Mus musculus: one gene and its partners. The protein of the gene in region 2 binds, or shares a complex with, the protein of the main gene of each other region. Links are inferred from orthologs where the notes say so. Each region holds a gene or a part of one and is shown on either strand. Other genes may lie near its edges.

Region 1 (3,653 bases), on a different chromosome or scaffold from region 2:
TGAGCCTTTTACCCAAGAGCAAACTTTGGATAAACTTCCACAGACAGAAGTTGTTTTACTTACACTTTTGAAAGAAGCTGCAAATTCAGCGACACCTGGTACTAAAAAAGAAAAAAAAGTTACTCATGTAGGAAGCATTTGTGTTTAGGCACTGAGGACTTAAATAATAAAGAAATGCTGGGTGATGGTGGTGGTGCACACCTTTAATCCCAGCACTCAGGAGGCTGACACAGGGGGATCTCTGTGAGTTCAAGGCCACTCTGGGCTATAGAGCAAGTTCCAGGCCAGCCATGGCTACACAAAGAAACCTTGTCTGAAAAGAACAAAACACAAACGGACAAACCAAAAACCTAAAAAACTGAAAACCAAATCTTGCCTTCAAGTAGCTTACACTCTAGAAAAAGACAGAGCATATATTATCAGCATCACTTAAGCACTTCAGAAAAGCATCAGGTGTCACAGGAAGACAAGAACAAACAAATAAGCTCTCATGGGAGCGAAGGGGCGGAAGAAGCTTCTCTGAGAAACCACTGCCTCCCGCTTTAAAGGGCCAGGACTGGGCCTGAGAACAGTAAGCTATCTCTCGCCTCAGTTTTAACCCCCTCTCCAGAGCTAGCGATTTAGACCAAGGATAGAGTGCTTTTCTAGCATGCACATGACCTTGGTTTGAACCCCAGGGCTACTAATAAATAAGTAATATAAATAAGCTAAACATTCTTTTCAGTTGTCCTGTTTGGTTTATTTATGCAAATGCCTCATGGATACTACCACATTAAAAAGCAAAGCAGCTAAAATACAAAGGTAGAGGGAAATAATGTTCAATTCTGTTAACTAAGAAATACAAGCTGGGGCTCAGTGGAGAGAGGCACTTGCCACCAAGCCAACAACCTGAACTGTAGAGTCTCAGGCTTATGGTAAAAGGCCAGAACTGACTCGGACCAGCTGTCCTCTGATTTCCACACATGCGTCATGGCACGTGGCTGCTTCCCTCAGCCCAATAATGAATATAATTTAACCTAAAAGAAATGCAAGTTAAACATAACAATGAGGAGTGACACTGGCTAGTGAGAAAATGGGCAGTCATCCTCTTCTACATACAGGATAGATATGCAAGGATACTCACTGATACACTGCCTGTGAAATACAAATGAGGTAAGTTAGGTTTCCAAATAGAATGTGAATATAGAAGCTAGAATATACCTGTCCACTGTAATATACATAAAACAATGAAGCAGACCTACAAAGATCAACATGGAACGATCCATCAAATTTCCTGTTGAAATAAGTTAAGCTGAAAGCTCTATACATATTACATCATCACTATGAAAACCAAAAATTCCTGTGTGATATACATGCAGACAATACATAACATACATATGTATATGCTTATCTGTACACGTATAAAAAAGTCCAAACAAGTCTGTAATAAAATTACAAACAATATTTAACTATTTCACTAAAGGAGATGAACAAATGCTTTGTGCATCTCAGTATTGTCTGAAATTCAGATATATCGTTTTAAAACTATAATTTTGTTTAAAAGCTCATTATCACTTCTTGCAATGTTCTGAAAAGTTAAACCACTAAGTCCCTATTTTTACTGTACATCAATCTCTTCTCTTTAAACCAAAATAAAAATTTTAGTCATCAGATCCATGATAACACTATAAAATTCTCCCAAGGGAGCGCCGGCTCTCCTGCGTCAATTCTACTATGAGAAAAGTCATAACTCACGCTGTTCTGGCCAGAGATCTGGTGAGGCACGGTCAAGTTTCTCAAAACTTAGCAAAGATGCTTCCAAATCCGTCCCTAGAACCAAACACCAAGATGGGATGAGAAATGCATTCATTCTCATTTTATTATATTTCAATCTCAAAGAACATAGCCTGAAACACTCAATTAGAAGTTCAGAGGTCTCAACTATTGATTCCCTGAAGCCCTATTGGGGCATGATGTAATACAAATAAATTTGATTCTCCCTCATCAAAACTCAGACTTCCACTTTATTAAAATAAGTGTTTAAGAAAGTCAGGTCTCAAAAGAAAAAAACAAACAAACAAACAAAAAAAAAAAAAAAGAAAAGAAAAAGAAAAAGAAAGTCAGGGCTCAGCCAGGCGGGGTGGCATACGCCTTTAATCCCAGCACTCGGGAGGCAGAGGCAGGAGGATTTCTGAGTTCAAGGCCAGCCTGGTCTACAAAGTGAGCTCCAGGACAGCCAGGGCTATACAAAGAATCCCTGTCTCGAAAAACCAAAAAAAAAAAAAAAAAAAAAAAAAGAAAGAAAGAAAGAAAGAAAGAAAGTAAGTAAGTAAGTAAATCAGGGCTCAGTGGTTAAGAGCATGGATTGCTCTTCCAGAGGTCCTATGTTCAATCCGCAGCACCTCATGCAGCTAACAACTGTCCATAATTCCAATTAGCATACATGTAGTACAAAGAAATACATGCAATCAAAATACCTATACACATAAACTTTTTTTTAAATGGGTATCAGGTGGACATGGTGATTGACACATATAATCCCAGCATTTGGGAGACTAAGGCAGGAGCATTGAGAGACCAGCCCAGACTACAGCAAAACCCCTTGTAAAGAAGAGTGTCAGCAAACCCACCTGTCTTCCTACACTCTTCAACTTGTCTCCAGTTACAGTCAGCTAAGTGTCACTGCTCTCAACAAAGATAATCTTGACTGTAGACCACTGTCTTCAGCTTTAATAAGCACTTCAGACAGTCTTCTTGTAGCAGAAGTTTCTATTTTAGACTCAGAGCCAACAAGCAAGCCTGATCTAGAATTTATCTCCCTTTTCACTTATTAAAAGAGCACTTTGCTGTGTGATGGTGGTGAATGACTTTAATCCCAGCACAAGGGAGGCAGAAGCAGGTAGATCTTTGAGTTTGAGGCCAGCCTGTACACAAAGTAAGACCCAGGACAGCCAGGGCTACATAGTGAAACCCTGTCTCATAAAAATAAGTAAACAAATGAGAGAAAGAGCGAAACTATACTTAATGTTAACCAAGTCTCCACATGTATGTACACACATGCACCAGTATCCATATGCATGTCTGAGTGCAGACACACACAGAAACATGCAAACTCTCCCTTTAAACTCATAGCCTCCCTCCTGGGTATCCCGTTGTCCTTACTCTCACACCTCACACTCTGTGTGTGTGTGTGCATGCACACATGCATATATGGATGTAATAAGTCTACAAATAGGCATATGACAATAAACACCAAAAAGGATGCTAAATGTTTTTATTTTGTCTATTAGTGGCTCACTAAGAAGCTAGCTGGCCAGCATGCTCTCAGGATCCAGCTGTTTCTGGGCATACCCTCCCCACACCCACAGAGCTGGTGGTACAACCATGCCTGGCTTCCAACTCAGGTCCTCATATTTGCAAAGCTAGCTGCTTACCTACAATGTATCATCTCCCCAGGACCTACACCCTCTAACCTATAAAACTCTTAGTTCAGTCCCTAGTGCATTGAAACTACTGTTATCAAGCTTCCCTTTGCCAGACCGTCCCACTTCTATGTGTCCCTGCTATGACCTCCCACAGCATGAGATGCTTTCATGAAACTGCTGCGCTTGTTTCCTCTTAGTGACTCCTCCTTCACTCTGCTCCACTCAGATCTCAGACTGTGCTGGCTCTAC
Region 2 (3,753 bases):
CAGGGATTCTTAGTGGGCAGCAGAGGGAGGAAGTTGCCTTTGCTCCAAGTGCCTTTCACCAACAACTAGAAGAAAAAAAGAACAAGAAGAAACAAAATACAGGACAGAATCCTCCAAACTCAATTCATAAAGGAGTGCTTTCTAAAAGCAAACAATTAAGTGTCAATCAGCTCTGCCTAACTATGGATTTAGAATTTAGATCGTCAGCATTCTCTGGAGTCACAGGTGAATAGTCCAGGCAGAGTGACCTGCAAAAAAAGCACACAACCTGGGCTGAGTTTAACTTGCTTAAGAATTTGAAACAAGCAGCTAGTTGCAGTGACTTGGATACACATTGTATTCAACCATGCTTATCTGAGGAGATCAAATAAGACCTGGGGTTTCTGAATGCTTTTCCAGGGAGTCAAAAAACAAAACAAAACAAAACAAAATATATACATATAATATATATGTATTGTATATATTACATGTATATAGTATATATTATATACATATAAAAATATATTTTTTATATTTTTTTCAACTGAGATGTCATTAAAATTTCCTTTGAATAGCATATGTGTGTGCGCATGTATGTTCATGCACTCACCCATTCATGTATGCATGAGTGACGGCCAGAGTTAGATGTTGTGTGACTTCATCTATCATTCTCAGCCTGTTAGGACAGTCTCTAACTGAATCCGGAGCAGGCCAGAGCACTCCTGGGGTTTGCCTGTCTTCACCCTTCCATGTCTCATTACCTGTAACCCCCCTGGGTTACAGCCCACACTGCCACTGCACCTGCCTTGTATGTGGCTGCTGGGGATCCAGGGGCTCGGCAAGCACGTTCTCTGCCAGGCCAGCTCTCCAGCTCTCTCATACTTTCAGATTCTCCCCGTTTTCCGGTTATGAACCTTCTTTTGTAGATCACTATCTTTCATTAAGTCTATTCTGCCTTTTGCTGAAAACATGTGAGTTAGTCTCAGGTACTTTTCTCTCATAGGAGTATAGACACGTGTACAACAGTTGCTCCCTATTTCCTACTCCCTGACCAGCAATTATTTCGCTGGCAGTCTGAGTCAGAGGAATCCTATATGTGAATCCTGCCCATGTGTATAATGAAAGCTTTTGTACATCTCAGTTAGATGCTGAAATAGTCTGTCTCCATACCCCCTGGGGGATGGCTCCTGTACTCCAGAAGATAGCAAAATCCAAGGATGTTTAAGTCCCTGATTTAAAATGGCAATGCATTTGCACATAACCTATGATCATCTCTAGATTACTTGATGTAAATGCTATATAAATAACATTACATTGTTTGTGGAATGACAAGTCTGTTCATGCTCAGGACAAATGTAATTTTCCCCAAAGACTCTTGATCTGCTGAATGCATGGACATGAATTCCACACACATGCCAATACAAGTCTACTTCTACACTAAGCTTATGACCAATCTGGGTTTCTATATTAGAGTGACTCTAATTCTCTAAAAAAAAAAAAAAGGATGTTGAGCTGTAACACCACCAAGAAAACAGGTATAGTAGTCACTGTCCTGCTGTAAAGACAAATTTTATATATGTGTGTGTGTGTGTGTGTGTGTGTGTGTGTGTGTAGTCTCAGGTACTTTTCTCTCATAGGAGTATAGACATGTGTACAACAGTTGCTCCCTATTTCCTACTCCCTGACCAGCAATTATTTCGCTGGCAGTCTGAGTCAGAGGAATCCTATATGTGAATCCTGCCCATGTGTATAATGAAAGCTTTTGTACATCTCAGTTAGATGCTGAAATAGTCTGTCTCGATACCCCCTGGGTATATATATATATATGTATACACACACACACACACACATATATATCATTAACATATGTGTGTGTGTTACTGGGAATACCTAATAATGATAACAAGCACCATTTATTTTATTCAGAGCCAGATACCACATCAATCGTTAGAGCAACGGCCTGGCAGAGAGGAACGTGGGGCTGAGAAGAGCTTTGTGTGTGCTGACTTTGATCTATCTAACTACAGTGCATGGTATAAACGAACTAACTGCTACACTCGATTAGGTGGAAGAATGGAGGAGTTAAAGGGCTCAAACTGCTGTACCAGGTTGCATGGCAAACTGCGTCACCTTGGGCGCTAAATTAACTTCTTACCGACCCCACTTTCTCCCTCTGTGGAATGGGGATCCAGTGGTGTTTCAAACGAGTTGGGGAAGACATAATCAAAGGGCTGAGCAGCGATGAGTAATTCATTTTACCGCGGGATCAGGTCTGATCGATTTAACGGCAGCACCGCGCCGTTTGGGGCACTGGGCGGCGCGCAGAAATCAAGTTTGAAAGTTGGGAGCCTAGGGAACCCCCGCAGAACCGGCGGCTCACTTTCCGATCTTCGGTTTCCCGCCTCAATCCAAATGGGTGGGTTGGCCGAGCTACACCCACCCTTCCCTCCCCGCACTCCTCGGAGACCCTCGTAGGTGGGGAACTCCCACCGCCCGATAGGCTTGGGGCGGGGGCGGGCCGGGGGTGGGGCCTGGCGAGGGTCGGGGCCGCCGCCCACCTGCCGCCGCTCACCTCTAGGCTGTAGTTGCCGCGGATGGCCGTGAAGTCATCCAGGGCTTCGGCCGCGCTTCCCTCGTCCAGGTTCAGTTCCTGGCACAGGGCCTGCAGCGCCTCCCTGGCCGCGGCGACCGCCGCCGCCCCCTCGGCGTGGGGCTCGTCCTCGAACATATCCCCCTCCGGCCCGACGGGCGGCGCGACCGGCTTCGGGGTTTTCTTTTCCCTCCCGGCGAGCTACCCACAACCCCCCGCGACAAAGCGCGCGAAAATCGCCTTCTTGAGCTCGCCTTCCCTTCATCGTCTGCCTCCGCTTTTCTTCTCAAAAAGTCCCTTTCTCCTCTGGAGCCCGCAGCAGCCCGTCTCCCGGAATGGGATAAGAAGATGGACCTCGGACTCTAACGGAGATCTAGCTCGGGCCCTGGGTGGGCAGCTGCGGGGCTCCGGGCCGCGGGGACGGACGTGAGAGAGCGGGGCGGAAGGATCCGAGCCGGTGCTGAGGCTGCCGGGACTGTAGCTCGCGCCCCGCGCTCTCCACCGCGGGTTCCCTGGTGTGGGTGACTTGGGACTGCGAGTCCGTTCACGCTAGTGGGAAGCCTTCTCCATGACACTGTCCTGTGGACCCTAGGTTTGTCAGCTCCCCGGCGCGCCTCCAGCCCGCTCTCACTGAGCTTTGACCCTCGATGGAGGTGGAGGCGGGAGCTGCCGAAAGTGGCTTCTTCACGTAGAAGCGCCACGTCAGAGACTCCCAAATCTCGCCAGAAAGGGATGCAGGGACAAGGGTTTGGGGTGACGGGTCTCAGCCTCACTCCCAGGATTCTGGAAACTGTCCCAGTAAATAGTCGTTTCAGGAATAGAGATGGTCCTCGCGCTTACCTGAAAGGTGTTTTTAAAACCTAAACTAGAACCTGATCGTTTTCACTCAGAATCCTGCACGAGATCATTTTTTGTCTTTAAAATACAGAAAAATAATAGCATTCAGATGCACCAGGTAACTCGTAACCTTGGGAATATCAAGCTAGTTCTCAGTCGCAGGAGGCTTTTCTCCGTGTGTGAAAATGCTATTGTGCATATCTTTGCATACCTTGCTCTTCATCATTTAAGTCTAATTTTAACCTTCTCAGGCCATTACTGAGCAGTACATCTATAAGCTGACACCTAACTTCTATTTCATCGTCTCCATTGTACCTTATCTGAAATTGTCATACTTATTGATCAGC
Region 3 (3,653 bases), on a different chromosome or scaffold from region 2:
ACCTCCAGCTCACTGTGGAGCAGAGCATCCTCTGGACTCTATTTTCAAGTGTGACAACCACTGGGCTTGTACTTCCATGCCCAACTAGCTTCATTTAATTGTAAGAACATGTGTAGTTGCATCAAATAAGCAGACAGTAATAAACTACTCACAATTTCAAACACAGTGATTTTGTACAGTTACAGGGTTTTCTGGGCCGACTGGTAGACTCTGATGGAATTATGCTGTCCAGACACACATACACACACACACAAAAAAAATCAATTAGTTACTTAAAACTAGTAAAACAACCTCCAATCTATAAATTCTGCCTAACATAAAACATTAATAGATGCTTCCACTTCTGGCAAAACTTTATTAGAATGTCTCCTTTACATTTTAAAAAATATTATCAGCAATTGCTAGGAATACATCACACATCCTCTTCTCTCTGAGAGAACTGAAGCTGAAAAGCTATAAAAGCTCCTGGGGTTTCATCACGAAGAGAGAAGGAAGGAGGAGGAGGTGCGCGAAGAACGGGCAGTGGGACCAAATGGGCTGGTTAACTCAGCACGGGTCACAGACCAACAGAGCAAAGGCAGCCAAGAGCTGCCAAACAATAACATGGAGCCAACACTCAACACGTGAAGAACAGCACTAAACACCGTTTTACAAACATTCACAGCGAGCGGAGAAACACAGAAAAGCTGGCAAAGGACAGGAGGGAATCCATTGCTGATGGTCTCTAAACTTGTCCATTTCAACTATCTCAAAATAGAGTGCTTTAGACAAATGCACAGCTTTAAAGGGAAAAACAAATGGAATATATTTCAAATAAATCTATTTAATGCTGCACTTAAACTGACTTAATAATTCAATTTACATATTTTCAAAATACTCACCCATTGAATGGAAGCCTTGCCTGTGTCTGGATGCCAGATGTTCCAGTAAAATTAGAGTTGCTTGCTATAGACACATATGAAGACTGCTGTAACTATTAGGAAAAAAAAATAAGTTAATATTTGCAAAATTGATAGCACTCTCAGACATAACAATATGTAAGAAGCATGACTACCCAAAGATAAAAAGCAATGGGGAATTTCATATAAACTTGATGGCGTGTTTTTAAAGACCTCAACCAACACTAGTGAAATAGCATGAATGTCTAACAGCATTGAATGGTACAGATATAAAAAGACTACCTCACAAAGGACAATGTCAGGGTTATAGGAAATTCTAGGTGAACATCCTCCAATACCAAAATAACATCTCTCAAGTGAGAAATGCACCGGGCCCACACACAGCTCCTATCCACTCTGCACTGCTATGTGAACTCAGGAAGCATCGTGGTCCCCTGGCTGAGAGCCGTGGTTCTCGCTCACCCTTCCAGCCCCCAAGGCAGAGGCATGGTCAGCTCCATGCTGCCCTATACTAAAGTGTCATCCTGTCTCAAAAAGTCCCCAAGAAATGTACCTTACAAACTACTTTCCAGCACAAGCCAGTAGCATCATATCTGTGTGTGCAGATGAACGTTAGTGTGTGCACAGTCTTTCCTAAAATCACCGGGATTCTGATTTTTAATGTCAACTTTGTAAAATGCTTATCTATAGTCTTGCCCTATCACCAAACTATTCCAAACTACCCAACTTTTAAATCTTATTTCTGCTACATATCTCTAAATTCTAAACAAAAATAAATTCAGATGTTCAATTAATATAACACTTTAGAAAGAGCCATTTTAATACAGAGCTGATGTTTATATTGTACTTAGAACGTGGTAGAGTTAGACACTCTAAGGGCAAACAGCAGCTCCAAAGCATAGGCCCTTCACCCCCACGTACCTGAGTAACATACTGAGCTGGAAGCACTGCATAGCCCACATTCCCTGTTCCTGGAGCTGGTGCCAGCACAGTACCTGGTGGCAGGTTAGTGAGGTTGGGCTGGATCTGAGGCAGTGGTGTGGCAGGCATGATGAGCCGCTGCTGTGGCTGGCTGGTAGTTACAATTTGTGAAGTTGAATTGATTGGTTTTGGAACAACCTTAAAAAAAAAAAAAGAAAATTTGTGACTAAATAATACAAACCATTAATTTTATGGGAGCTTAATCCAGTATACAAATTATTTTCTAGCTTTTCAAAACAGAGTTTCTCTAGATGGCCTTGGCTGTCCTGAAACTGGCTCTGTAGACCAGGCTGGCCAAGTCTGACTCAGAGATCTGCCTGTCTCTGCTTCCCAAGTGCTGGGATTAAATGAATGTGTCACCATGCCCAGCTTCTTATAACTAAAAAGTAAATTGCCCTTTGGGAAAAAAAAATGGAGAAGCTACACAATACTCACTTGCTTAACGGCCTGAGCTTGGACAAATGGAACTGACATCCGTACAGGGGTGGTATTAACAACCACTGGTTTTGCTTTAAAAAAAAATAAATAATAATATTTACAAAAAACAGTACTGAAAACACTTAAGAATCCTTATCCTTCAAGCTATGCTTAGGAACCAGCTTAGAGCATCCCACCTGATTCTCACTTTGCGCATCTTTAATCAAAGACAGTTAGTTACCTTTCTTGAGAGGCAGAGGCAAGATCCATGGATCTCTGTGAGTTGGGAGGCCAGCCTGACTTACATAATGAGTTCCAGGCCTGCCCAGGCTACAATAAAAACCAAACCAAAACAACAACAACAATAAAGAAAAACACCACCAACAACAAAAGGGAGTAGTTACCTGTCACAGTTGTTATTCCCCCCAGCAATATGAATCTGAGGTGAGAAACCCCCCAGGGGAGGGACTATCTGCAGGCTCAAAGCTTCCCACTGAAATCCCTCAACCTGTGCTCAGAGCCGCATACAAAACCGAAAACAAATGCACTGCATTTACAAGTTCAGCTAAGCACACCATTCTGTGCTACTACTTTTACTTTCTGTGTTTTTCTTTACGCTAGAAAAAAGATCATGCTGGAACAACTAGGTATTTAAAAAAGACAGCAGGGCAAAAAGGCTAAGAGTCTGAGTTCTTGAGCTGGGAAGATGGCTCACTCAGCAAGTGCACAGAATTTAATCCCTGAAATTTACGTGGTTGAAGAAAAAAGCCAACTCCCACAACACTGACACACATGCATGTGAACACACCACACATGCACACACACAGACATGCATGTGCACACATGTGCACATACATAACACCCATGAACTTACATATACATGAGCAGTCACATATAGACATGTGCACACACATGCATATACACATGCACATATGAGCATATATGCACATGAACACATACTCACATGAATGCACACACTTACTAATAATGAAAAAGTAAGTTCTAAAGTCAAAAGACCCAGTGGTTCAAGACCCAGCTCTGCCACTTTTAAGTGTGTAGGCTCTTTGCATGTGATGTGAGTAGTAAATTCACTACTGCTATTACTGTAACCCTGCTACTGTATAAATGCTACTAAGGGCAGGGTACCCCAGGAGACTCAAGATTAAAGCTCTTGCTCTCAAGATTATACTCTTGAACAGATTAGGCAAGTACCCAAATAAAAGAAAAAAACAGGTCTTAAAAAAAGACTTCTAGGGCTGCTGAGATGGCTCAGTGGGTAAGAGCACCCGACTGCTCTTCCGAAGGTCCAGAGTTCAAATCCCAACAACCACATGGTGGCTCACAACCATCCGTAAC

Evidence for each region.
Region 1: Rbl1 (region 2) and Lin52 share a complex: the UniProt entries of both Homo sapiens proteins name them as parts of the DREAM complex. The link is inferred for Mus musculus from reciprocal best matches to the Homo sapiens genes RBL1 and LIN52.
Region 3: Rbl1 (region 2) and Lin54 share a complex: the UniProt entries of both Homo sapiens proteins name them as parts of the DREAM complex. The link is inferred for Mus musculus from reciprocal best matches to the Homo sapiens genes RBL1 and LIN54.

What each region holds. Positions count from the first base shown.
Region 1 is NC_000078.6:84,454,397-84,458,049, reverse strand, and holds part of Lin52 (protein lin-52 homolog), read right to left. Parts: intron 1,810-3,653; coding exon 1,735-1,809; intron 102-1,734; coding exon 64-101; intron 1-63.
Region 2 is NC_000068.7:157,201,749-157,205,501, forward strand, and holds the start of Rbl1 (retinoblastoma-like protein 1), read right to left. Parts: upstream 2,787-3,753; 5' UTR 2,708-2,786; coding exon 2,552-2,707; intron 1-2,551. UniProt on the Homo sapiens protein: Key regulator of entry into cell division. Directly involved in heterochromatin formation by maintaining overall chromatin structure and, in particular, that of constitutive heterochromatin by stabilizing histone methylation.
Region 3 is NC_000071.6:100,452,120-100,455,772, forward strand, and holds part of Lin54 (protein lin-54 homolog), read right to left. Parts: intron 2,390-3,653; coding exon 2,316-2,389; intron 2,019-2,315; coding exon 1,821-2,018; intron 974-1,820; coding exon 882-973; intron 225-881; coding exon 153-224; intron 1-152. UniProt on the Homo sapiens protein: Component of the DREAM complex, a multiprotein complex that can both act as a transcription activator or repressor depending on the context. In G0 phase, the complex binds to more than 800 promoters and is required for repression of E2F target genes.